Cricetulus griseus: one gene and its partners. The protein of the gene in region 1 interacts with the protein of each later gene in a pairwise test. Links are inferred from orthologs where the notes say so. Each region holds a gene or a part of one and is shown on either strand. Other genes may lie near its edges.

Region 1 (6,467 bases):
AGTTTATTTCCAAAAAAACACTAAAAGAGATAGATTATTTTCTATCTATGAAGATTAAGGTAATTGGATTAGTTGTATTACAATCAGTAAATAACTTTATGTGCAGTATATTTTATGTGCATTGGTGTTTTGATGTTTTACTGGAATGCATATCTGTATGAGGGTGTCAGATCCTATGAGACTGGAACTACAGACAGTTGTGAACTGCCATGTGGATGCTGGGGATTGAACCTGGGTCCTCTGGAAGAGCAGGCAATGCTCTTAACTGCTGAGCCATCTCTCCAGTCCCCCAATCTGTATATTTTTTTGAAACAGAACTGATAGGTAAATAGCAGTTACTCTTCATATTATTTGACCTGAAAGAAACAATCCTTGAACAAGATTTTTTTTCCACCCTGTCGTTTCAGGATCGGCTGATCAGAGTAGACAAAGTGAGTACACAGATTTACATAGCTGGTATTATCCTCTTATCCTGAAATAGTAAGGACCAGTGTCAACTTGTAATTTTGTATTACTAGACATAAAATTCTAGTCAATAATTTGAGAAAAACCTAAGTATTAAAAAAATAGAATGGTGCTACCTTTTAAAAACTTTGTATTATATTTAAATATGAAAGCATTATCCCACTTTACTTCACTTACAGTCATAAAAACTCTATGATTGGTCAAATGGAAGCTATTTTTCCAGGTTGATCGAATGGGTAACCAACCAATTGAAGACACTGGCTCATGAAGCAAATGCTGGGGTGCTTTCTATATAATCCTGACAAAAATAGTAGGTTTTATTAGCTCATTTATTTTTGTTTTGTTTTTGAGACAGGGTCTCATTATGTAACCCTAGATGGCCTGAACTCACTATGTAGACCAGGCTAGTCTCACAGAGGACTGCCTACTTGTGTTTCCCAAGTGCTGGATTTAAAGGTGTGTGTCAACACTCCCAGCAAGAGTCTTACAGCATTATGTATCTTAGAGATTTGTTATTAGTTGTTTAGTTTAGTAGTTCTTGTTAGGGTCATAGTTTTTGATAGTGGTTGAATCACAATCCTTTCTCCAGGATGTGATGGAAACATATATTGATGCGTATTTTAATGGCTACTCTTCTGAAAGACACGTGAATACAAAGCTCCTGATACAAATCTTGGTTAAATACATATGTTAGACCAACCATACCCCAAACCAGCCTGTTGGGTATGATTTATCCAGAAAGATTTTTGTGTTTGGTTAGTCAAGTGTCTTGGGCGTTTTTTATGCAACAAGATGTATGTATTTTTAGAACACCTTTGTAATATGGATTAAAGGTTAAGACTTGATTACATAACCAACAGGATGCAAGGTATGTGTCAGCAGTCATAATAAGCCAGTATCTTATGAAGGAACTTTAAATTTAGAAGCTGTAACATTGGATTTCTTTGCCTTCCTGAAAGAATTTGCAAGCAAATAACCAGGTACTTTATACCTTAGCACAGAAACATAAGAGAATGAGCCCTACTATCCAGCAGCCCAGAGTTGTATAAAACTACTACTACAGAGAAACAGAAACAAGACAGAAGCAGAACCTTCATTTGGTCTAACCTTGTTTTGAAACAGAAGTTCTGACCTATGATGTCATTTCTGGAACAGAAAAGCAGAAGTCTTTTCTACATTGTTTATCTTTTTTTTTTTTTTTTTGGCATGGTTTTAAGAGGAACAGAGACCTTCTTTTTAAGGAGTTACTTGAATTCACTGCTTCTTGTGTTGCATTTACACATATATATCCAGCTTCCAATTTTTGAAACTTAAGTCTGCATTTTTAATCATTATAGGCAGTTTAACAACAACCAGGGAAAGTAGATCATGGAAATGTACTCCTTCCACGTGAAGTCCCAATACTAGTTAAGTCTCAGGTTTGTTCTTTTTACAATGGTTTTGAAAATTTTCCAATGGTCTCTTGTCCACTTGCCCCTCTTCTTGGCAGACGCAGGTGTTGGCACTCTCCATGTTGCTGATGTAGTCAGCTCAATCAGATGACTGCAGAAAACTCTCATTATTCAATCGTATTCGAGTCTCTGCTCTGGTTTTAAGTCAGAGCTTTTGGCATTATAGAGCAGGGCAAATAAATCTTGATGCTACAGCAGCGATAGGCTACCAGGAGAGGCCCGCAGGATCTTAAGTACAAGTTACACAGCGGGGGGCTTCTCTTTGAATGACAATGAACTGGGAGATTAGGGGCAAAGGAAGAAGGTCTTCATTCCCACTTAGGGAGGAGGACACCTTTTCTTTCCTCCATAACTGGATGGGAAGCCTGAATCAGGCATGCCTTGGCCTTAGGAAGGTTACTTGGGCCGGCCACCTCAGAGTGGCACGCAGTTCTGACACCCACATAAATACACTATGGGTCATGTAATTGGCCGGTCCCTTCAGCCCCGCGCGCCCAGAAGCCTCGACAACCCGTGGCCCATAACCCATTCCCCCCGCAGCGTCAAGGCGAAGCGACGCCGGGTGGCATGGCGAGTGGATTTCCCGCGCCCCGGGTGGCATGGCGAGTGGATTTCCCGCGCCCCCTCGGCCGCGCGCTGAACCCGACGCGGCGCGGGCTAGTACCGGTCCGAGCCGCGCGCGCCCCCGTCCCGGGGAGGGCTAGAACCGGCCGCCTCCAGGCCGCAGCTGAGCTGGGCGGGGCCGCCTGCAGCCCCGAGCGCGCGGGCGCCGGGCAGGAAGACGCGGGCGGCCGTGAGTGCGCAGGCGCGCGGCGCCCCGCCTCCCCAGCGTCGGTCCGGGCGGGCGGCGCGAGCCCTCCCATTCTTCCCCCGCGCGCGCCTCACGGCTGCGGCCCTCGCTTCAACCGACGCCCGCGTGCGCGCGCCCGCCGCCGCCGCCTCCCGCCCGCAGCGCCCGGGCCTCCGCCCGTTCGTCCGCCGCCGCTCGCCGCCGGCCCCCGCTCGAGTTCACGCTGCCTCCCGGGCCGGCGCGGCCGCGGGCCACCGCTGCCCCGCCCGCCGCCATCCCGCCCCCTCCCCGCCTGTTCCGCCCGCCCGCTGCCACTGCCGCCGCTGCCGCCGCTCCGGATGAGGTGATGGCAACGGCCAACTTCGGCAAGATCCAGATCGGGATTTACGTGGAAATCAAGCGCAGCGATGGTGAGCCGCGCCGGGGCCGGCCAGCCTTTTGATTGCTCCGCGGGGTTGTGGGGGCGGGAAGGCGGCGGCCCTGGCGCTTTTGTGTGCGGCGTTGTGCGGGTGAGGCGGGCGTGGGGTCCGCCCGGGCGCCGCTGCAATGCGGGGGGCCGGGCGGGGGCCGCTCCCGGCCGGCTTCACCATCCTCCCCGGGGACTCCGTTAGAGATGACCGTGCCTCGCGCTCCCCCCGGCTCTGCCTTTTACCGGTCTCTGCATAGATGGCGTGGCCAGGGTGGGAGCGTGAAGATCTGGGGGATTCGGCACCGAGAGACCCGACTGCCAGCCAGAGGCCGTTGGGCAGCCATCCGGTTGTTTTTAACTGCTACCCGGTTGTCAGGCCTCTCTGCCTCTCCTCTGCAAGCGTGCTGCCTTCCTTTTTGCTCGTCCCTGTCCAGGGAGAAGGGTGCAGAGAGAGAGAATGCTGCACTCGGCCATGAAAAGGGGTGGGGGAGCAACGGAAAGAAATACTCAATACGGTTCGCCAAGGTGATGGTACTGAAAGGGATGGAGAGAGGGTGGACGAAGTCCACTCGAGGCACCACTGAGAGGGTGGGGGTGGGCGACCGGATGTTGATATTTTCACACCCTCGGGACGTAACTGAGAAAAGTGTAAGGCGAGGTGAAGACACATGTTTAATTCTTTTTTTTTTTTTTTTTTTTTTTTTTGAGACCCGTAGGCTTTTAGACGTTTCTGTGGGTTCCTCTTGGGGGGAAATGTTTTATGTCACTGACTTCGAAGTGTAAAGTAGAAGTCATTTATAGTGTAAAGGAAATAATGTGTACAGGGGGGATGAATGAAACTGTTTTTCCTTAATTCGAATATTGGAAAAACGGATTAACGAGAATTGTGAGTTGATTGTTGATTGCATCTCCCTTATAACCAATTCTTTTTACTTACTTTTGACCTATTCACCATCCTCTAATGCCCTAGCTAATAACGGCATGGCTATGTCACCCACTTCTTGGTTTCTACCAAATTCGACCAGGTTATGTCAATGATGTGAGTAGATTGAATTTCCTGTTACTTGTATTTGGAAGACTCTGAATCGTTAATGATTTTTCCCTCCATCTTTGCATTTGAGGTAATTTGTGGTAACTGGAAGCATCACTATTTTGTGTATGAGAAAATAAACTTGTAGAGCTGTAGAAGTTACCAAAGGGGTAAGAGATGCTTCATTTACTTGGATTAGGGTTTGCTTTATTATTTCTCTGCAGATTACTTTCTTGTAATCATTATGTTGTTTCATGCCATTTTATTTTTTGGTGAATGTGGGTTGGCTGTATATCAACATATATAGGCTTTATGTGTTAACTTAAAACTTGGAAGCATAATAAAATATAAGTTTTTGCAAGTCTTAACTATGGCTGGTAACTGAAACCTTCACAAAAATAACATGACAATTGAGATTTCTGTTACAGTTTTTTGGAGATGCCATTTTTTAAAGTGTATTGGACTTGAAGTAATTTTGGTACTTTGTTGATTCTAGGATATAGGATTATAATATTCCTTCTGCCATTAGTTTCAGCCTATACCAGAAATTCTGACACACAACAGCTTTATATTCCAAGTCAGAGTAATCTAGACAACATTCTCAAAAGTGACTTTTCACAAGAAGTAGTGAATGTCAGTACAGTGTGTACTGCCCTAACCTATAGGCTGTAAATATTTAAGTGCCTTGGATACAAAAGGGTAAAGGTAGGTAACTTTTAAAAACGTTTAAAATCTCTTATTTTTGGAGACCTTATGTCTCAGGCTGGCCTTGAACTTGTTTTATAGCTGAGGACCTTGAATGCCTCCTGCCTCCACCTTCTGAGTGCCAATTTATGAGGTTCTGGGGATCAAGCATTCACCAGTTGAGCTTCACCTTCAGCTCTGAAAAGTGGGTAACCTTTAAAGGAAATAATTAGCATTCAAATTGTTTTGCAGTTGGATTTCATGTCTAGAAGATTCCCTCAAGCTTTTCCTCTTCACTTTAAGGGGGTGTTTTTGTTCCCTTCTGTAACAGGTCAGTGATTATATAAAATACCAGTGGTTATTGCAATAAATAAATGAACAAACAAACAAGCCTTGTGATTGAATTACCACTGATATCCTGAGACGTGACATCATAGGAGAAAAGAAGGGCTACTCAGCCTGCTGTTAACTGGGCAATACTGTGTTGCATACATGATCTTTGTCCCTGACAAGCAATTCCTATCAATAATAGTTATATAGTAAAAGATTCCAAAGGCCAAATTGTAAACCAGAATGGGCTTATTCGTGTGTTTGAAGATTCTAATCCCAGTAAGTCTACACTGATGGTTAAAACCAGACTACCAGTGGGCTTCTGAATTCTTAAGTCATCCTAAGTCATGTCATTCATGAGACAGCATATTTCCTTAAGCACTGATATTTAGAACTGTACTGCCTAATAAGTTTTCAGACTACATGGCTTAAGTAGATGATCAAAGATACATTCAAAGATACACTCATTTCATCCAGAGCCAGGATGTCACAGGATTAAAATACTTAACGACCTCAGAAACTGCTTGAATACATGTGCATCACCCCACACACCCATGTGGGTACCAGTTGAGTGCATTGCTCATTAGTGGATTTTTGTTTTCAAACATTATGTTAGGGCTGGTAAAAAAGTTCAGCCTGATGACCTGAGTTCAGACTCCAGGATATTCATCATGGGAGGAGAGAACCAGTTCTTGCATTATTTTAATTAGCCAGCCATCTGAACTTTTATCAGAAAAGAAAACCCTCTGTCTGCTCATTTCTGTACTACCACCTTCCCACTGTGACTCCCCTTCCCTGGTGGCCTCTTAGTTTAGGGTCCTCAGGTTGAGTTTTTTGTTTTGTTTTATTATGCCCCCCCCTCCAATATTCTAAGGTTAGATATTCTAAGGTTAGATATGGCAGGAATTTAGCTTAAACTCCAGTGGTTGCTTCCAATCACAGGTAAACTGGTATGAGATTGGAATGGTTTCTTAAAATAGTCACATTTTCTTGCTTATGTCTTAATATTACTTGATTTAGGTCCGTTTTAGGATTCAGTGACTCTAAAAAAAACTACAATTATACAGATGTATAGTTAGATAGCCTGTATTGGAAAAAAATTGTTTAAAGCTGCACTATTAAAACAAATTCTGTGGTAACAGTGACTGGCTTCCCTAAAGGAGAAAGGGGCATGGCTGAGAAATAGTAAATATTTGAAAAGTGCAGCTGAGGTGGCATTGGTCTCTTAGTTGATGTGTTACCTAATGGGATTGTTTCAAATTTCAACTAAAAATCTTGGAAGATTTAATTCTCATTTTATACAAATGG
Region 2 (5,888 bases), on another chromosome or scaffold:
GAGTGCAGTAAGTCATGAATGAGTTGCAATCATGTTCTTCTGCATACTCATTCTTAGATATATACTGATGCATAGATTTTTATTTACACACAATAACTATTGCCAAGAACAGGCAGAACAATTCAGCCACCATGTTGCCAAAAAGCATGCCAAATTCTACTACCGATAGATCCTATAGGCAGGACTAGCAGCACACTGGGACCTCTCATCCTCTAACGCATACTCCTGTGTTCAAATGGGCAAAAAGTAATTTCCTCTGGGAACTCTAATGAAAAGACTGCATGTGTCTAAAACCTAAGTAACTTATTTTTCAGGCCCTGACTGTAGGGACTTGAAATCCAGAAACCAACTCAGATATTTCACTGATGAAAGATTCCAACTGAATAATTTAAAAAGGAACTTTAATGTAAGTCAGAAATGTACTCAAGCACCTAATCACCATATTACTTTGTTGAGCTACAAATTTCTCACCTAGGGAGCCCACTGCTAATGGACAGCCCTGGAAAAGCTATCCAACTGATGATACGAGCAGGCTAAGCTTGGATGTCTCAAAGTGCTTTAGCACAGTACCACTCCCTCGCAGCAGCCTGTGGGCTGAGATGCTGTCACAGCAAGGCATGAAAGAAAGGCAGGTGGGAAAATAAGCCCAAGCCAGTGTGTCAGTAGGAAGAACCACCCAGTTCCTCTCTGCACTTAAAAGCTCTGTGATTTGGGGAAAGTTACATGCTTGCTTATCCAAGGAGACAAAGCATTTCCGCTTATTGGTGTAAACAGAGACTGAGGACAGCTAAGTGATGTGTCTCTTCTCTAAAAGACACTAACATTCATTACCTGGTGACATATACACAGTTTTGTTGGTAACCCAGGAAAAATTACAGGAAATTAATAAGCGTATAGTAACAGCTGGGTTGACATAGAAAAACATAGGAAGACAGATGGTCCAACTAAATATTTTGGGGAGAGAAAAATAGCTATGAACTTTTGACTAAACCCTGGAATAAAACAAACAGGAGATAGGTGGTGAAGTTTAGAGGATATATTTAAAGGAGAAGTATTCATGTAACAGGTAGAAAATAACTTATGGAACTAAGAGTCTAAGAACAAGGACTGAAAATCAAGTCAATTTTTAAGCTTAGATAATTTCAGCAGATAGAAAACATTTTCAGAGTTCAGTTTTCATTTTGTAAAGACTGATGTTAATATCTGGCAGCTATTAACATAAATATCCCATAAAACATCCCTCACAATGTTACCATGGGGTATTGCATTGGGGAAAACACAGTCTTTAGCTAGGATTGACATCTCATCACTGTTAATACAAAAGCAGAGTTCATTCTGAACTATAGTTCTTTAGGAAATAATTAGCATAAAAAACCCTCTCTACTCAACTTACCTTCCTGTTTGTTTAAAAAATTGTTCTTCAAATTCTCGCAGGGCTTTCCGTAGCCTCTTCTTGTCAGCCCTAGTTTCTCGGAGATGGTCAAGAAGGACTGGCCTGTGTCAAGTGAAACACATTTGCATTACTGAGCACTGACCTGACTGACTGATCATGACTGAATTATGTCAGATCAGCAAAATGGGCCCATTATGACTGAAAAGTGATGATAGAAGGATTTTCTAAATGTGGCACACATTGTAAATGTGGCCTCAGTGTAGGAGCAGCACACAAGCCTAGTATTCCCTGACATTAACAGTGTCATGGGCACAGAGAAACAGTGTATTACATCTGCTGTTAAAAAAAAAGGGGGGGTAACAGTTATGGTGCTATACTAAGGATGACAGGATGGAGCAGACATCCAAGGAATACACACCAATGTTTGTTGACCAAGTATAGATAAGAGAGACACAAGAGGAAAAAAAAATATGTCCTTAGAGTGTGGGAAGAAGAACAAAACCATTGGGAATAAAACTGAACACCGACTTTATATACAGGCATTTTCTCTAAGTCAAATCTTATCAATCTCAAAAATGCCCACACCCACTGAAATTTAGGGATGGCTGTTTGACAACTACCACCCAAAGGTTGGAGAGAGTGAGAGCTCTCCACCAGGCTAAAAACTGCTTACTGTCCTTGGTTTTTTCCTTCATCTCCATTTGGGACACACACTAAGCAGAGTATATAAGGCTTGTTTAAAGAGGACCTCCTTAGTGTGGGATGTTACATACAAACCAAAAAGGTCATATGATCAAGAGATATGCCAACAACTGAAGAGTGATAATGGTAATGAAAATCCAGAAAGTTCTTAACTGAGAGTCATTAGGAGACAAAAGATCCATGCATTGACTGGGGGCCGAGGTTATTCCTGGTCTGGTACACTATGTCATCTGGATGTAACAAAGGAAGAAAAGAAAGGCTCTGGCCACTGTAGACCCACTGAGGATCTTACTCCTTTGGGTCCAGTATTCAAAGACCAGCTCTCCTTTGACACAGCTAAGGGTTACAAGGGTTAATAGTGCCAAGATTCAACAGGAAAGTAGGATCAAAGTAATTGCACATCAATCCTTAGGACAGATGTAGGACTTTACTGTGGGGTACCTCACGGCTCTGTCTTCTGTATTTTCCAGTTAGGCCACTTTCAGGTCTATTCTCTGCTAGAGAGCACATTTTAGGCTCTGAACAGATGTTGAGTTTTTAATGCCCAGGCAAGGTACCCAAGCCAGGAGTTTTAAGAGCCCACACTCGGGCTGCTCACTCACATGGTGGCCTCGTGTAAGTTGGACATGGAGAGAGCTGGTTGCTTCCCTTCTTTCTTCTCATCTGGTAGCAGGGTCCTCATAGGCTCTGTCTCAGAGTAGGTGAGGTGATCACCAACAGGAAGGCGGGACACTGGATCTGGTAAAGAAGGTGGCTGGCTTCTCTGTGGACAGTCTTCATCAGAGTCCTCTTCCTCCTGCTTGTCACAAGCAGAGTCAAAAAGTCACAAGGTGCTACATGTCTCTTGAGCATCTGAGAGGACTATAAGACCCTACAAGCCAGTAGACAGGTAGCCCACATGGCTGCTGAGAACTAGAATGGACACTACACCAAGAGCTGTTGCTCAGTTTCATTAATAACCTGTGGAAGTAAAAAGGTATCCGTGCTGAGCTACAGTGCTTCCCAAGTTTATCTATATCCACTGGGCCAAGGAAGACAAGCATTCAGGGTACAGCCCAAGTTGTACTGTGTGATCAAGTGGATCCTCCCAACCCCCAGACCTTCTGTATTCCAGCTTCACAGAAGAAATCCAGGTTAGGGCAGGGTGCACTACAGACACTTTATCCAGAAAATGTCCCACTCAGACCCAGAGCAGGCCACAGTCAATGCAGAGGATGCTAAGGATGTTCAGGTTCAGAAGGGCCCTTAGAAGGCCAAAGAAGCTGTAGTTACTCCTTTAACCTTTCTGGTTATTATGACAGACAAAAGGTTCTCTTGAAACCTGAAAGTCATATTCTCCTTTAAACTATTATTCGTCCTCAATTTTAGACAGAATTTTCCATTCTCCTAACATCCTTTAAAATACAAAATTATAAATATACTCAAGTAGATTTAATTTCATATTTATTTAAATTCTTATTTGCTGCTTTCTATGCTGATATCTTGAGTAGCCGTTTTGAAATTTATAAATTTATTTAAAATATAGCCCTACTGTTTCAGCACTTCTTTTTATTGACAAAATCTGCTTATATCTAGTATAGTGTGATCAGATGGAACCAAAACAATGTTTCAATATTTCAAAGACTGCAGCACCAGTTTTATTAACCACAACACATAACCGAGAGGCTCTTTCTTATTTAGCTGTGTTAACAATCAGACAGTGCCACACTGAAACCAATCATGTTTTTTCCTCACCCAAAAGGAGGGTCAAGAAATGAAATTAAATGTTGAATGGCCCCAAGCATGCCAGTTTGGTATGCTCTGTTTCACAGCAGTTCCTGTTAGAACACTGTTAAGTACAGCACTGGGCTAGGCAAGAGGACAGCAGCTGGTGGGATCATAGTATACTCAGCTAGGAAGGCCCCTTGGTAACATTCATGGTACTATGCTGTAGTGCTAACGAGCATAGATACAAGGTGCCAGTCAAGGTTTCCAGTTAGAGCAGCCATCTTTACTTACAATTGTTGGAATCAGGGACGGTGTTGACAGGATTTGCTTGATAATTCTGCATCGGTCATAAAGAGGCTTTATGAGGTTCTTGTCTTGTTTAGTTACCTGAAAAACATAAAATTAATCTGCCTTCTGTTCTCAGACAGTATTCTCCCTGCACCCACCATGTGTTGGGGACCCATTCCAGAACCTATACAAGTTAACCACCGAGCTGTAGTCCATTCCCTAAGACAATATTCCAGCAGACCCTCCCTCCCCAAAAAATCATTTTAACAGCAATGAGTAAAAAGGACATCACAAACAAGATGGCGTCTGTTGCACATCATATTTTTATGATTTTTTTTGGCCAGGAAAAAATTCCCATAGAGGATGGAGGTGAGTATAGAAAATTAGCTCATAAGGCTTTGTGGACGAGTCTACAAAACATGAGTAATAAGAAATGACTAACCAAGACCTATCTCCTTTTCTTCTGAGCATCTATGTTATCTGGACTTTTGTGATTACATTCACAAGTATTGGCTATGTCCAGGCCCCCATTATTACACACATAAGATAACATAATAACACATGCATACTGCCTTACTAGTTAGTTCTCATATAAACTCTAGGGAATGGAGATAAAACATTTGACTTTTGAATCCTCCATTTCCTACCCACACAACAGAGGGGTTAGAGTTCCCTCCAGGCTGTTCCACAGACAGACAGGAATTTCAGTTGGCTGGCCAAAGTTCCAGCTACTATGCCCAACCTCTTAGTGCACTAATGCATTCTGTGCCCATCTGCTGCAGGACTCATCCACACACGCCACTGTAGCAGGTCACGGTTCACATAAAAATGCAATGTCTCTCTCATCTGCTTGTCCACATATCTACCCAGAGTAGCCAAACCCATCTTTCTAGTCACCACCACCCCCCAAACACACACATACACAGTATACTGCTGCAGTCATGAATTTGCTCTATACCCATTCCATTCTCAACCAGTGGTTTATACTCATCAGGCAGGGGATGGGAGGAGAAAATTCACCAGTCACCCCCTGCAGAATGTGCTGCCTTCTAAATCTTCCAGAGACTTGAGACAAAAGAAAACAGCTTCCTGGTGACACATTTGATGTTCCACACCCATCACAGGTGCAAACCACACTGGTCCACGCTAATCTCCTTTCCTACAAACCTTTCTGTTCCATCGTCTGGACCTTAACTTTTCTGCTTCAGTCTAACCTGCCCAAATAAAAACTTATAACTCCTCACCAATATCTACCATATCCCTATTCTAACTGTTAAGTTCATAGGTAAAAACAACTCTAATTTTTAGCGCTCTCTCTCTCTCTCTCTCTCTCTCTCTCTCTCTCTCTCTCTCTCTCTCTCTCTCTGTGTGTGTGTGTGTGTGTGTGGTTTGGTTTATAAGACAGGGTTTCTCTATATAACAACAGGTTTGGCTGTCCTGGAACTCACTCTGTAGGCCAGGCCTTGACTTCACCGAGATCCATCCACCTTCCTCTGCCCCCTGAGTGCTGAGATGAAAGGCGTGCATCACCACAGCCTGGCTATATATGATCTTGTGTAAATATAAACATAAACCACAAGCTATAACCCCAGATAGACAATGTGCTGTAGAGGCCTTTAGTTTTAGTTGATCATCTTAAGGGCCTTTAATTTCCTAGGCAAATTCACTCTTTAGACATTTTCCTTAGCATCTTTAGACACACACACACACACACACACACACACACACACACACACACACACACGTGACACCAGCCCATATGTGTGCCTAAGGCATGGAGAAATATTGACGGGCCTTT
Region 3 (5,888 bases), on another chromosome or scaffold:
AGGGGAGAGGTTTTATCCAGAGTTTACCATTTTTAATAGTTTGGTGTTTGATCCCTTAGGCTCCCCCCATATTATCTACATATAGTCTTTAAAAATATATTTGGCCCTCCCTCCCACCTCCCTCCCTCCCTTCCTTCCTTCCTTCTTTCTATTATTTCTTAGACAGGATTTCTTTGTATAGCTTTGGCTGTCCTGAAACTTGCTCTGTGAACCAGGCTGGCCTTAAACTGGGAGATCCTGAGTGTTGAGATTAAAAGTATGTGCTATCACTACCACCTGCTATTACTTATTTTTTTAGGTGTATGGGTTCATAGCCTACCTTTATGCACCACATGTATTCAGTGCCTACCAAGGCCAGAAAAGGGCATTGTATCTTCTGTAACTGGAGTTAACAAATGGTTGAGAGTCACTGTATAGGTGTGGGAGTTCTCGGGTATTCTCTCAGGCTAGGCTAAGGAGAAGGTTCCATTGATAAAGTACTTGCTTCTCCAGATTTGGATCTCTAGAACCATGTAAAAAGTTAGGCATGATCTTGCTGGACCCGAGTTTTCTTGTTTTCTCATTGCTGAATATCGAACCAACAATGAACTCTACCCCTAGACTATTTGGGACAGGATCTCATGTAGTCCACTCTGCCCCCAGACTGACCATGTAGCAAGGGCCGACCCTAAAATCAAAATGGAGAGATGGTTCAGTGGCTAAGAACACTTGCTCTTCCAGGAGAACACAGGTTTGACTCCCAGCACCCACATAGCAAATCATAATTATCTTCAACTCTAGTCCAGGGGATCTGATGCCCTCTTTTGTCCTTTGGGTACTTCAGGCAAGGCACCCATTAAATAAACAAGGTATATATAAATAAACAAGTTAGGCAAGGCATGGTGTTGTATACCCATGACCCTAGTTCTTGGGAGATGGAAACAGGAGGATCACTCTACCCAGAACCTCAACCTCTAGGTTAAATGAGAAACTCTATCTCAAAAAATGAAGTGGGGGGTCTGGAGCCACGGCTCAACAGTTAACACTGTCTACTCTTGCAGAGGACCTGTGTTTGACATCCAGAACCCACATAGTAGCTCATAATCATCTGTAACTATAGTTCCAGGGGATATGATACCCTTTTCTGGCCTATGCGGGCACTGCACACAGATAGTATATACATATATAAAGGCAGGAAAAGCACTCATAAACAATTCAAGAACTAGTAATCATTAAAACAAAAATAAGATGGAGAACAATTGGTAATCAAAACATGCATGTGTACACAAATATGCATATATCAGACATATATATGACACACATGTTCTGCATTTTATAAAATATATTCACATGTAGACAGCTTTCCTAGAATACTGTCTGTCTCACATTGTCACTTAATGACTATAGATCTACATGACTAAGGAATCTGAAAGAAAGGGATTGCTTTGTTTTAGACATATGGAATTAACATGAACTGGAAGATGAAATTGGATCAGAGAGTGGCATGTGGCAGCAAAGCAGAAGTGTTTGGTGTGCTAAGATTTAGGCTAGGCTAGATGTTAGACACTGCCAGCAGGATCTCTAGAGCCCTAAACTTGGGTGTGTTGTGCCAACCATAGCTACTTTATCTGAACACAAGGTACAGAGTATACATTTTAGCATTAAAGCAGATATATTAAAACAGCTGCACAGGAGATACAGATAGCAGAAGAATTGACCTGTGGGTGCCAGGCACACACATTGTGCATATAGATATATACATGCATTGTCAGATACAAGGGCTCAGGCATGAAGAGCTTGTTAACTCTAAACCTAAAAGACTTTGATTCTTTGTTTCTCTGAATTCAGAGGAAGTAATTCTAATATCTAGGCCTTGCTTTCTCATGATTTAGATGATCTAGGGCCACTCCAAATCTAGGGAGTCTATATCAATCCTTTTATTCAACCTTGTGTTTTTCTCCAGTCAAGCCAGAATGATACTGCTTAGCTTTCTATTAGAATTTGCCTACTCTTATACAACGTTTGTCCTAAGAGAAAAAATTATTAAGTTTTTATGTAGGAAAAAAGTTTTTAAAAATACATGCATACATGTGTAAGTATATGTATTATGTGTACATGTATACATATATACACGGATATGTGTATGTATATGTTTAAAACTACTTTGTTTCTTTAGAAATCAATGTCTGTACTTGAAGAGACATCAAGTCAACTAGCCTTTCTGGAAGAACCAGAACGAGAAGAACGTGAGTTTTTGTTTGATGAAGAGATGGAACAGACAGACAGAAGGAAAAAGACATTTAATGATTGGTCTGATAATGATTCAGATTATGAAATTGATGACCAAGATTTAAACAAGATTTTGATTGTAACTCAGACACCACCTTATATGAGAAAGCACCCTGGAGGAGATCGAACAGGCACCCATACATCACCAGCAAACATTACATCAGAACTTGCTGAAGTGATTAATGATGGCCTGTATTACTATGAACAGGACCTATGGACAGAAGGTGAAAACCTGCGCACAGCCATAAAGGTAACGATTTCTGGTGAGCATCTTTCTGCTGATAGTTTGCTTTGATTGTATGGTATTGCTTGTTTTGTTAATTTCATAAATGCTCAAGTATAAATAAATTATACCCTATTTGAAAATTCTTAGAAATATATTTGATAGTCACAAACTGAGGAACAATTTTAAGTGATGATATAATAATACTATCATCATCAAAAAATATTATTTAATGACTAAAACTTGTGGAAAAATATAATTTCTGATGAAGGAATAAAAAAGTTGCATGGACAGGCCTGCTGGATATGCTTGTTCCATTCTCTTGCCCTTTTACCACAGATTCTGGCCTCTACCTAATTGTTAAGCTAAGGCAGAAGAAAGAACCAGAATGGCTGTCTGGCCTTCAAATGTCTTTAAATTGTAGGCATGTAACAGGGTCTTTTTCTTCTGTTAAACTTTTCAGAGAGGCTTCAAAAGTTAAACATGTCAGTGAGTGATGGAACAGTGAGGGTGAGTTACCTCTCATAGGAGAGCGATCTTAGAAATGAAACTGCTGTAGAAAGAAAAGCTGCCAGCAAATGTTTGAACAGAGGGGACTGCTTATCACAGGCTTGTGAACAAGAGATGTGATCTCCTTAGAATTTCCACTACTGCTTTTAGCCACTGCCTTTTTAGAGAAACTGCCTCAGCTGTATCATGTCAAATGCCTTGAAGCCTGGACATTTTTTGCCTGTCCTGCTACTGTGGGAAAGGAAGTATGCTTTTATGAAGTTTAGATAGAATGTTTTTATTCATAAAAACACATTCGTGTGTGTGTGTCTGTGTGTGTGTGTGTGTGTGTGTGTGTGTGTGTGTGTGTGTGTGTGAACAAATGTGAACAAATTCACTCATATCTCAATGCAAGTGTGGAGGTTGATTTTTTTTTCCTTCCATGTAGGTTCTGGGGATGGAACTCAGGTCCTCAGGCCTGACAGCGAGCACCCTTACTTGCTGAGCCATCTTGCCCACACTGTTAATTTTATTTCTGATGCTTGCTTCTAGAGGTGATGTCTATCTGAAATCACTTTTGTAGCAGAAATATAAATATATTCTACTAATTGCTGGGTCTTGGGACACAGGCCTGTATAATCCCAGTTTCTTGGAGAAGCCAGTAGGAGTAGAACAAATTCAAGGGTAGCCTGATCAATTTCACAAGACCCTGCATCAAAATAGAAGAGGGTATGGCTCAGTGGTAGATCGTTAGCATGATTGAGGCTATTTCCATGATGAAATCACTGTCCTTGGTTCTAAAAGAATAAATATATTGATGTCAGGTTAGATAGTCAGAATGGGCCTCTGAAAAGAGTCAAGTTAGGATGAAATCAGAAAAGGTAAGAATGAAATGTGCAAAAAAGCAGGAAACAGTATTCCAGGAAGAGGAGTCAATGAAGTATCAGTGATCTGAAAAAGAACAACTGACAAATGTGAGATACCAGTTTGCCCATATCTGTATAAGAAGGTAATTATGTTTGTGTAGACACAGTCAGATTAGAATAGAATTTGTAGACCATGTTAAATAGTGTGGAATTTAAAGTTCAAGTGCAGGTTTACAGATACACTGTGACATGATCCTATTTCTATTTATTTATTCCATTTTTTTAAACTTTTGATTTCATTTTACATTCCAACTACAGTTCTCCCTCCCACCCCCTTGCCCACCATCAGTCCACTTCTCCTCACTGGGGTAAAGGGTCCCATGAGGAGTCAACATAGTCTCTTCCATGTATTAAGACTGAGCATGGCATCCCACCATGGGAAATGAGCTAGCTGGTGTACCAGATTTATATCTTAGTCCTACTGCCAGGGGCCCCTCTGATAGTCCAAGCTTCACAACTGTCTCCCACATATGGAATCTCCATAGTTGTAGGTCTAGAGTTCATGAGTTTCCACAAACTTGGTTCAGCTGTCTCCATAGATTTCTCCATCATGATCTTGACCTATTTTTATTTTTAAAAGATCGATGTGGTCCATAGGACAGAAAATAGACAGGCTTTCTATCTAAGAGATGGAGAATGGTAGGCTTAGTTAAATTGGTAGCACAGGAAATAAGAAAATGAGAACTACATCCGAGCCTTGATGGATAAGAGAGAAGATTCAGGCGTGTCAGAAACTCCATGGTTGATTGAGTAGGAGTGCAGAGCCTGCCAAGATGATACTACAGTTTTAATGAAGAATTGGTGATTTCAGAAGCTGTGTTGAACTGGTGTGGCAGGGATAGGCTCACATATCTTTATTGCTAAAGACCAGTGAAATAGCCACATGAACATGACAGATGGTGAAATGAAAAATCTTAAAATCTCCAAAGGTCTGCAAGGTGAGTGATTAGAAAAGTGAGATGGTGGAGCTTGTTTGTGGAATTTTATTGGTGGTGGTGAGTTCAACCTTGCAGAAGCTACCCAAAACAGGAAAAAAGACAGACACCAAAGTTGGGGATTCTAATGAGTGAGTCCATTCATCATCAAATGATTGCCTTTAAAGAATACATTCTATACTTTCCTGGCAGGGAAGAGACCATGGTCAAGAATGTAGGTTTCCTAGATCAAGGCTCATCTACTATATTTGAAATATGCTGACCCCTGAAAGTTCTCAAAAATTCAGTAAACTCTACTGTGTAAGTTGTTGTGGGGGAGTGTATGCATGCTCTCCCCTAAATTAAAAAAAAAAAAAAAAAAAAGCTAAATAGTTTCTCAGTGAAAAAACTTAATTTGCCTTTTTACTTCCTCCCCTAGGGAACAGAACATTTTACTGGTTGTTTTAAACAGAATAGAGAAGGAAAAAAAATTACACTAGAGGTGTATTCCTGAAGCCCAAGTATAGTGATTGGGGGCTATAGAGATGACTCAGCAGTTAAAAGTACCTGCTGCTCTTTCAAAGAACATAGGTTCAGTTCCAAAAACCCAATTCTTGTCCCTTTGGGTTCCAAGCACACATGGTGAACATTCATACATGCTGTAAGGAAATGTGAGCACCAAAATGTTAGCTAGTGTGATTGTTACAGCTTTGGGGCAGCAAAGGTGTCCTGACTTACCTGGAAGACAGGCTAGCTCTGGAAGCTGGAGCCACAATGGAACAGTTCAGCCCTGGAGAGAGAGGTATCCTGACTTGTCTGGAAGCCGGGCTAGCTGAAGTGGGGTGCAGTGGGGTATGGTCTCCTGCAGGATATAGCAATCCTCTTCTCAGAGCAGTTGCAGCTGCACTCTGCTCAGTTTCCCTAAGCGGAACGTCCTAGCAGAACTAATCGCTTCTTAGTTCTTTGGGGGAAGTCCCTGCAGAAATGTAGCAATCTCCTCCGGCTCCTGCAAAAAGTTGTTACTTTTCTGCTACAAAGGGAATGTTCCAGCAAGTTCTTCTATTCTGC
Region 4 (5,368 bases), on another chromosome or scaffold:
TAGCAGCCAGTATCTAAGAGATGGGTAAATTACATAGCAGCCAGTATCTAAGAGATCTCTGATTGCCTTAACTGGGCATTCTTAACTTATTTTCTGGCAGTAGCTATAGGCTATTTTTTTCCCTTCCCTTGTAATTCACAGTAAGGAACTAAGGGGCTAGGAAAGTGGCCCAGTAATTCACTTGCTGGGAAAGCATGAGAAACTGACTTGGGATCCAGAATACCCACATAAAAGCCAGCTGGGGTAGTAACCTCCTGGGGGAATGGAGACAGGGAATCCTGAAGGCTTGCTGGCTAGTCTAGCTGGAAGTGGTAAGCTCCAGGCTCAGTAAGAGATCTTGCTTAGAAACAAAACAAGATGGAGCATGGTAGAGCAAAATATCCTACCTTTGGCTTCCACATTTGCAAACACAGGCAAGTGCACCTACATATACATATTCATACACTCACGAAAAGAAACAATGGGAATAGCTGGGCAATGGTGGGCATGCCTTTAATCCCAGCTCTAGGGAGGCAGAGCTAAGTGCCAGCCTGGTCTACATAGCAAGTTCCAGGACAGCCAGGGCCATACAGAGAAACCCTGTCTCAAAAAAACAAATGGAAGAAACAATATGTACCCAGTACTTGCAAATGCAAACACACACAGAGAGCAGTGCCTTTATGTTATAAAATATACATGGTTATTTGCTTAAAACTAAAGTTTCCTAAAAGAGCGTGGCTTGAATGGATAACTTTTTTTTTTCTTTTTTTTTTTTGGTTTTTTGAGACAAGGTTTCTCTGTGTAGCTTTGGAGCCTATTCTGGAACTCACTCTGTAGACCCGGCTGGCCTTGAACTCACAGAGATCCACCTGCTTCTGCCTCCCGAGTGCTAGAACTAAAGGCGTGAGCCACCACTGCCCAGCTTGAATGGATAACTTTTTATATCATTTAATCCTCTAAAATGATTTCGTGATCACATCAATGTCTGCCAGACTAAAAACTATTTCAGGTGCTATGAGAAATAAGCCATTATGTACTTGAAGGGTAAAATTAAGTACCAGCAAAAAATGATTAGGGAAAATGACACCAGGCAGGACAATGCAGGTGACACAGGAGAATGATGAGAATAGAAGGGTCTTGCTAAATAGACCAGGCTGGCCCCCTGAGTAGCTGGGATGGCCTGTGCTACCAGGTGGGGCTGATCCCATTTTAAGGAAAGAATGTTGGTAGCATATGCAGGAAGTTGGTAGTAGGTAACCATAGAAGTTGGGATTAAAACTAAACAGAAATGTAGGATCTAAGTCCAGAGTAGTTTAATTATGACAAATGAGTAGCTTTGTGATGGTTTTAGGGAATGGCTGCCATAGATTCATGTATTTGAATGCTTGGCCCTATTAGTAGGTGGAGGAAGTGTGTTGTAATCTCTTCCTACTGCCTGTGGATCAAGATGTAGAACTCTCAGCAACTTCTACAGTACCCTGTCTGCCTGTGTGGCAACATATTTCCTACCACGATGATAAATAATGGACCTCAGAAACTGTAAGCCAGCCCCAATTGAATGTCTTTTCTTTGTAAGAGTTGCCTTGGCCATGGCGTATCCATAAATAGAAACCCAAACTGACAGATTCTTTATGAGAGTAAGCAAAAACTATTAAAGATATACAAAGAGTAGACAAACTAAGTAAGAAAGATGAGGTATGAAGCCTGGTGTGATGATGCATGTCTATAATCCGGGCACTCAGGAGCCTTGAAACCAGGAGAATCCTTTCAAATTTCTAGTTCACCTTAGTTTACTAGCAAGTTTCAGGTCAGCTCATGACACGAGTCTGTCTCTACGAACCAAGCAAACAACCCGAGAAAAAGAATTCATTTGGTAATAAATATTTAATTAAAGGATACTTGGGTGATAAGTGAAGCCAAACTCAAATATGGTTAAGCAGCGAGGGAAGAGGAGAAAGAAAAATTCAAATTTGTCCAGACCCTCCATCACCTAACCTTACTTATCTTGCCCCCAAAGCACGGGTAGGTGTCAGTCTGTTCGTGACCTTCGCGTAACCTTCGAGTGATTAAGCCCAGCCTTCTCTTAGACAGCAGTCTTTTCGTTCCAAGCTAACATTTGGTTGTTATGTCCTCTGCAGTGTCAGCGCCGGGTACCATTAACTGGGCCGGGCTTGTCTGCGTTGGCCGCTGCGGATGCTGCCGCTGCGTTTCTGGCCCGGATGTGGGAGGCCAAGGCAGTGAACATTTCCTGAGCGGTGAGGTTAGCGCTGCGCATAATCAGCCGATAGCCATCTCCTAAGAAGATGCAAAGCGACGAGTCAGAGACCCGGAGTCCGCAGCGCAGGGCTCCGCTGCCGCCCGCCCGCCCGCCGGCCCCCCAGCCAGGCCTACCGAATAACACGTCCACGCAGGGCTCGGAGCCGTCGTGCCTCACGTCGGCGACCACCGAACAGTTGAGGTTTGTGGCACGCACTTTCTCGCTGCTCACCGCCTGGAGAAACGTCCTACGGTGGGAGGGCAGCGTGAGCGCGCCCGGGGACCAAGGGGCGTGCACGAGGCAGGGAGGGCCGGTCCGAGCAGCTTGGCACTCCGGCAGGGGGTCGACCGTGAGCGAGCCCCCCATCCCCACCCCCAGAACACGAACCTTGTCGACTCCACGTTCTTCTCAAACGGGCAGAACTGAACTCGAACCAGCTTGACCGGCTTCAGTCCGACGCGAGCCAAAGCCGACGCCATGGTTACCTCTGCTCCGGAAGTAGTGCTGGGGATCGCTTTATTGGAACGGACCGCTTCCGGCGGCCTCTGCGCGACTTGTAGCGGCTGTCCTCCCGGGCCGCCAAGGGACCCAGAGTGGGCGGTCCGCAAATACTTCAGCAATTAGCCATACCCTGTGCCACACACAGCGTAGACGGTGAATGTGCAAAAACCCCTTTTGCACGAAAACACGTCTCCTGCAGCTTTCCCGCTTCAGTGTCCTGCCGGCTAGATCTAGGTCAGCACCATCCTAAATCCTGGCTCCTTCCAATGAGGATTGTCCGCCCACCAGGAAGCAAGCCCACCCTGGCAGCTGAACGGCCAACGCTTAATGTTGTCAAGGTCCTACAGCCTAATGACTAAAAATAAAGACGGGGAAGCCTTGTTCCTGGGATTCAAGAGAAAGCATGTAGCTTGCTTCTGTCTCCTGAGAATCAACCCTGTAGACTAGCTATTTCTAGCTCTTGTCTCCACTGTTGCCAACTTTCAGATTTCGGGCTCTGGTTTGCCCCTTACTCTGGATTGCAGGTACTAGGGTGATCGTGGATTCAATTCCAGACGGTGTAGTTTATGTACGTGTTCTTCCAAGCTCCCCGTTTTAAGCCTAACATACAGTTCCTTGACTGGGGCTTAACAGACCATGATTTGCAACTCCTGATCCTAGGCAACTTAGGGCTCAGGACTTGTCCCCAGGCAGGAAAGAAAGGGCAGGTGCCAACGAGGGTGCTGGTGCAGCCTCAGGGCAAGCCAGGCCTGCTGGTTTCCAGCCAGGTAAGCTTCAGGACTAGGTCCTCCTCCTCCTCCTCTTCCTGCTCCTCCTCCTCCTGCTGCTCCTTCTGTTCCTCCTCCTCCTTCCAGAGTGCTTAGCAGGAGCATGTTCTGGGCTGGGGAGAGTCCAGGCCGGAGAGGGGGAGCCAAGCTTTCCAGGCTGTTGAGGCTGCTGGTGGGCAGTTCAGTGGTCTGGACTTCATTACAAAAACCTGGAAAGGCAGAAGTGGAAGGCAGGTTGGTGGGTGATGCTGAAAGTCAGTGGTGAGATGGGAGTCTCTTAAAGCAGTGATGGAGGGACTTGGGTAAACCTGGGGTTGGAGAGGGGTAATGACTCACAGCAACAGGGAGGCCTTCTGTGGACTGGACTCTTGGGCAGGGGCTGCTGCAGGAGACACAGCAGGGCCCCATCTAGCCGCTGGAAGATGCTGAGTGACAGCAGAGTCTGACGAAGCTCCCGGGACAGGCCCCACTGCTCCTGTTCCAGGACCTCCCTGACCACTCCGAAGTCTTGTTTGAGCTGCAGCGCCCCCTGCAGGCTAGATGTCCAGGTACAATGTGGCCACCTGACATTTCTGCCTCCCCACACTGCTCTACCCAAAAGTTCTCCATTTTTCCCTGTTGACATTCTCCCGCTGCCACGACCATCTTTCCTTCCCACCTGAACCGGATCCCATGGGTGAGGATGTGATCAAGCCAGGCACCCAGTATGGCTGTTAGTGCCTGGCTGAGGGCGGGGGCTTGGGCTTCGGGTGACAATCCCTGCAGTCCTCGCAGCACGGGCTCCAACACAGTGTAGACCACCATCCCTGCATACTCGCTAGGAGCACTGGGATGTTCTGGGGTGACAGAAGAGAAAGGAAAGACTGTGAGACTATGGAAATCCAATGGGCACCAGAGAGAAGGGCACAGAAGGTGCAAGGATGGTGACCAATGGGGAGGGCTTGAACCAGTCACACACTGGGAACCCCTGGAAGGAGAAGATGGGCATGGGAAGTTACGGAGACGGTGGGCTGGTGGGGTGGGGGGGGGTGTGTAGTTCAGTCAGTAAGGCTTGCTTGCCTAGCATGTGTGAAATCCCGGGTTTCATCCCCAGCACTACAGAAAGAAAAATTACCGGGACTTAGTCGAAGCCGCCAGTATCGACCCTTTGGCATGTGGAGCTTGAAGCCCTGTGTGGCTTGTTTATGGCATTCTTGGAAAAAGAGACTCAGCGACTCTTCAGGCAGGAGCTGTATAAAGAAGAGGAAATTGAGAAGGGCTCGACTGTTAGACTGATAAGATGGTGCCTCTCCCATCTGAGGCCTCAATGTGGCGTCTGTAAAACCCTGAATCCATGCATCACTGTGGGAGCCTGGGCATTTTCTAAGGAGAAGTGTCACCCCTTTAACTGAGTTTTCCAGGTCTGGACTCAAACTCTGCACAATACATAGGATTACCAGTTCTTGGTAGTCAAAGGCACATGACAAGTCAGGCGTGTTGAGCATGTGCCTGTGTGGATATTCCTTTACACTGTGTGAATATATGTCACAAACCCACTGTGATTGCTTTAACAAAGCAAAGGAACTGCATGAAAACTCTGTGGCCACACAGAGAGAAAATGAAAAGAACCTCATATCCTATATATTCCACAGTAGGAAGCAATAGTGTGCAAAGTGAGACAGAATTAAGACAGAATAGCTTCATCAGTAAATATAGAAGGAAATCATATACAATAAGAGAGACTGATGGCATAGCTTGCTGGCACTGGAGCTTACCTAGCACACATGAAACCCAGGCATAATCTAGAGAGAGGGGAGAAGAAACAGCTAACCACAGATGGAAGGTGGAATTGTTCTCATTAGAGGCCTTAAAAAAATATTGTGTG

Evidence for each region.
Region 2: the proteins of Kif2a (region 1) and Fam13c interact in binary tests that used the Homo sapiens proteins (3 or more experiments, as listed by UniProt). The two-hybrid records come from large-scale screens. The link is inferred for Cricetulus griseus from reciprocal best matches to the Homo sapiens genes KIF2A and FAM13C.
Region 3: the proteins of Kif2a (region 1) and Larp1b interact in binary tests that used the Homo sapiens proteins (3 or more experiments, as listed by UniProt). The two-hybrid records come from large-scale screens. The link is inferred for Cricetulus griseus from reciprocal best matches to the Homo sapiens genes KIF2A and LARP1B.
Region 4: the proteins of Kif2a (region 1) and Mrpl53 interact in binary tests that used the Homo sapiens proteins (3 or more experiments, as listed by UniProt). The two-hybrid records come from large-scale screens. The link is inferred for Cricetulus griseus from reciprocal best matches to the Homo sapiens genes KIF2A and MRPL53.

Annotation. Positions count from the first base shown.
Region 1 is NC_048595.1:325,092,630-325,099,096, reverse strand, and holds the start of Kif2a (kinesin-like protein KIF2A), read left to right. Parts: upstream 1-2,965; 5' UTR 2,966-3,052; coding exon 3,053-3,116; intron 3,117-6,467. UniProt on the Homo sapiens protein: Plus end-directed microtubule-dependent motor required for normal brain development. May regulate microtubule dynamics during axonal growth. Required for normal progression through mitosis. Required for normal congress of chromosomes at the metaphase plate.
Region 2 is NW_023276806.1:267,183,128-267,189,015, forward strand, and holds part of Fam13c (protein FAM13C), read right to left. Parts: intron 4,190-5,888; coding exon 4,094-4,189; intron 2,895-4,093; coding exon 2,698-2,894; intron 1,496-2,697; coding exon 1,394-1,495; intron 1-1,393.
Region 3 is NW_023276806.1:109,059,240-109,065,127, reverse strand, and holds part of Larp1b (la-related protein 1B), read left to right. Parts: intron 1-2,155; coding exon 2,156-2,531; intron 2,532-5,018; exon of another isoform or gene 5,019-5,180; intron 5,181-5,888.
Region 4 is NC_048601.1:74,278,859-74,284,226, reverse strand, and holds Mrpl53 (39S ribosomal protein L53, mitochondrial), read right to left. Parts: upstream 2,881-5,368; 5' UTR 2,716-2,880; coding exon 2,624-2,715; intron 2,484-2,623; coding exon 2,371-2,483; intron 2,275-2,370; coding exon 2,120-2,274; 3' UTR 1,845-2,119; downstream 1-1,844. Other genes in the region: Ccdc142 (coiled-coil domain-containing protein 142), read right to left, coding at 3,403-3,713, 3,841-4,040, 4,163-4,340, 4,619-4,733.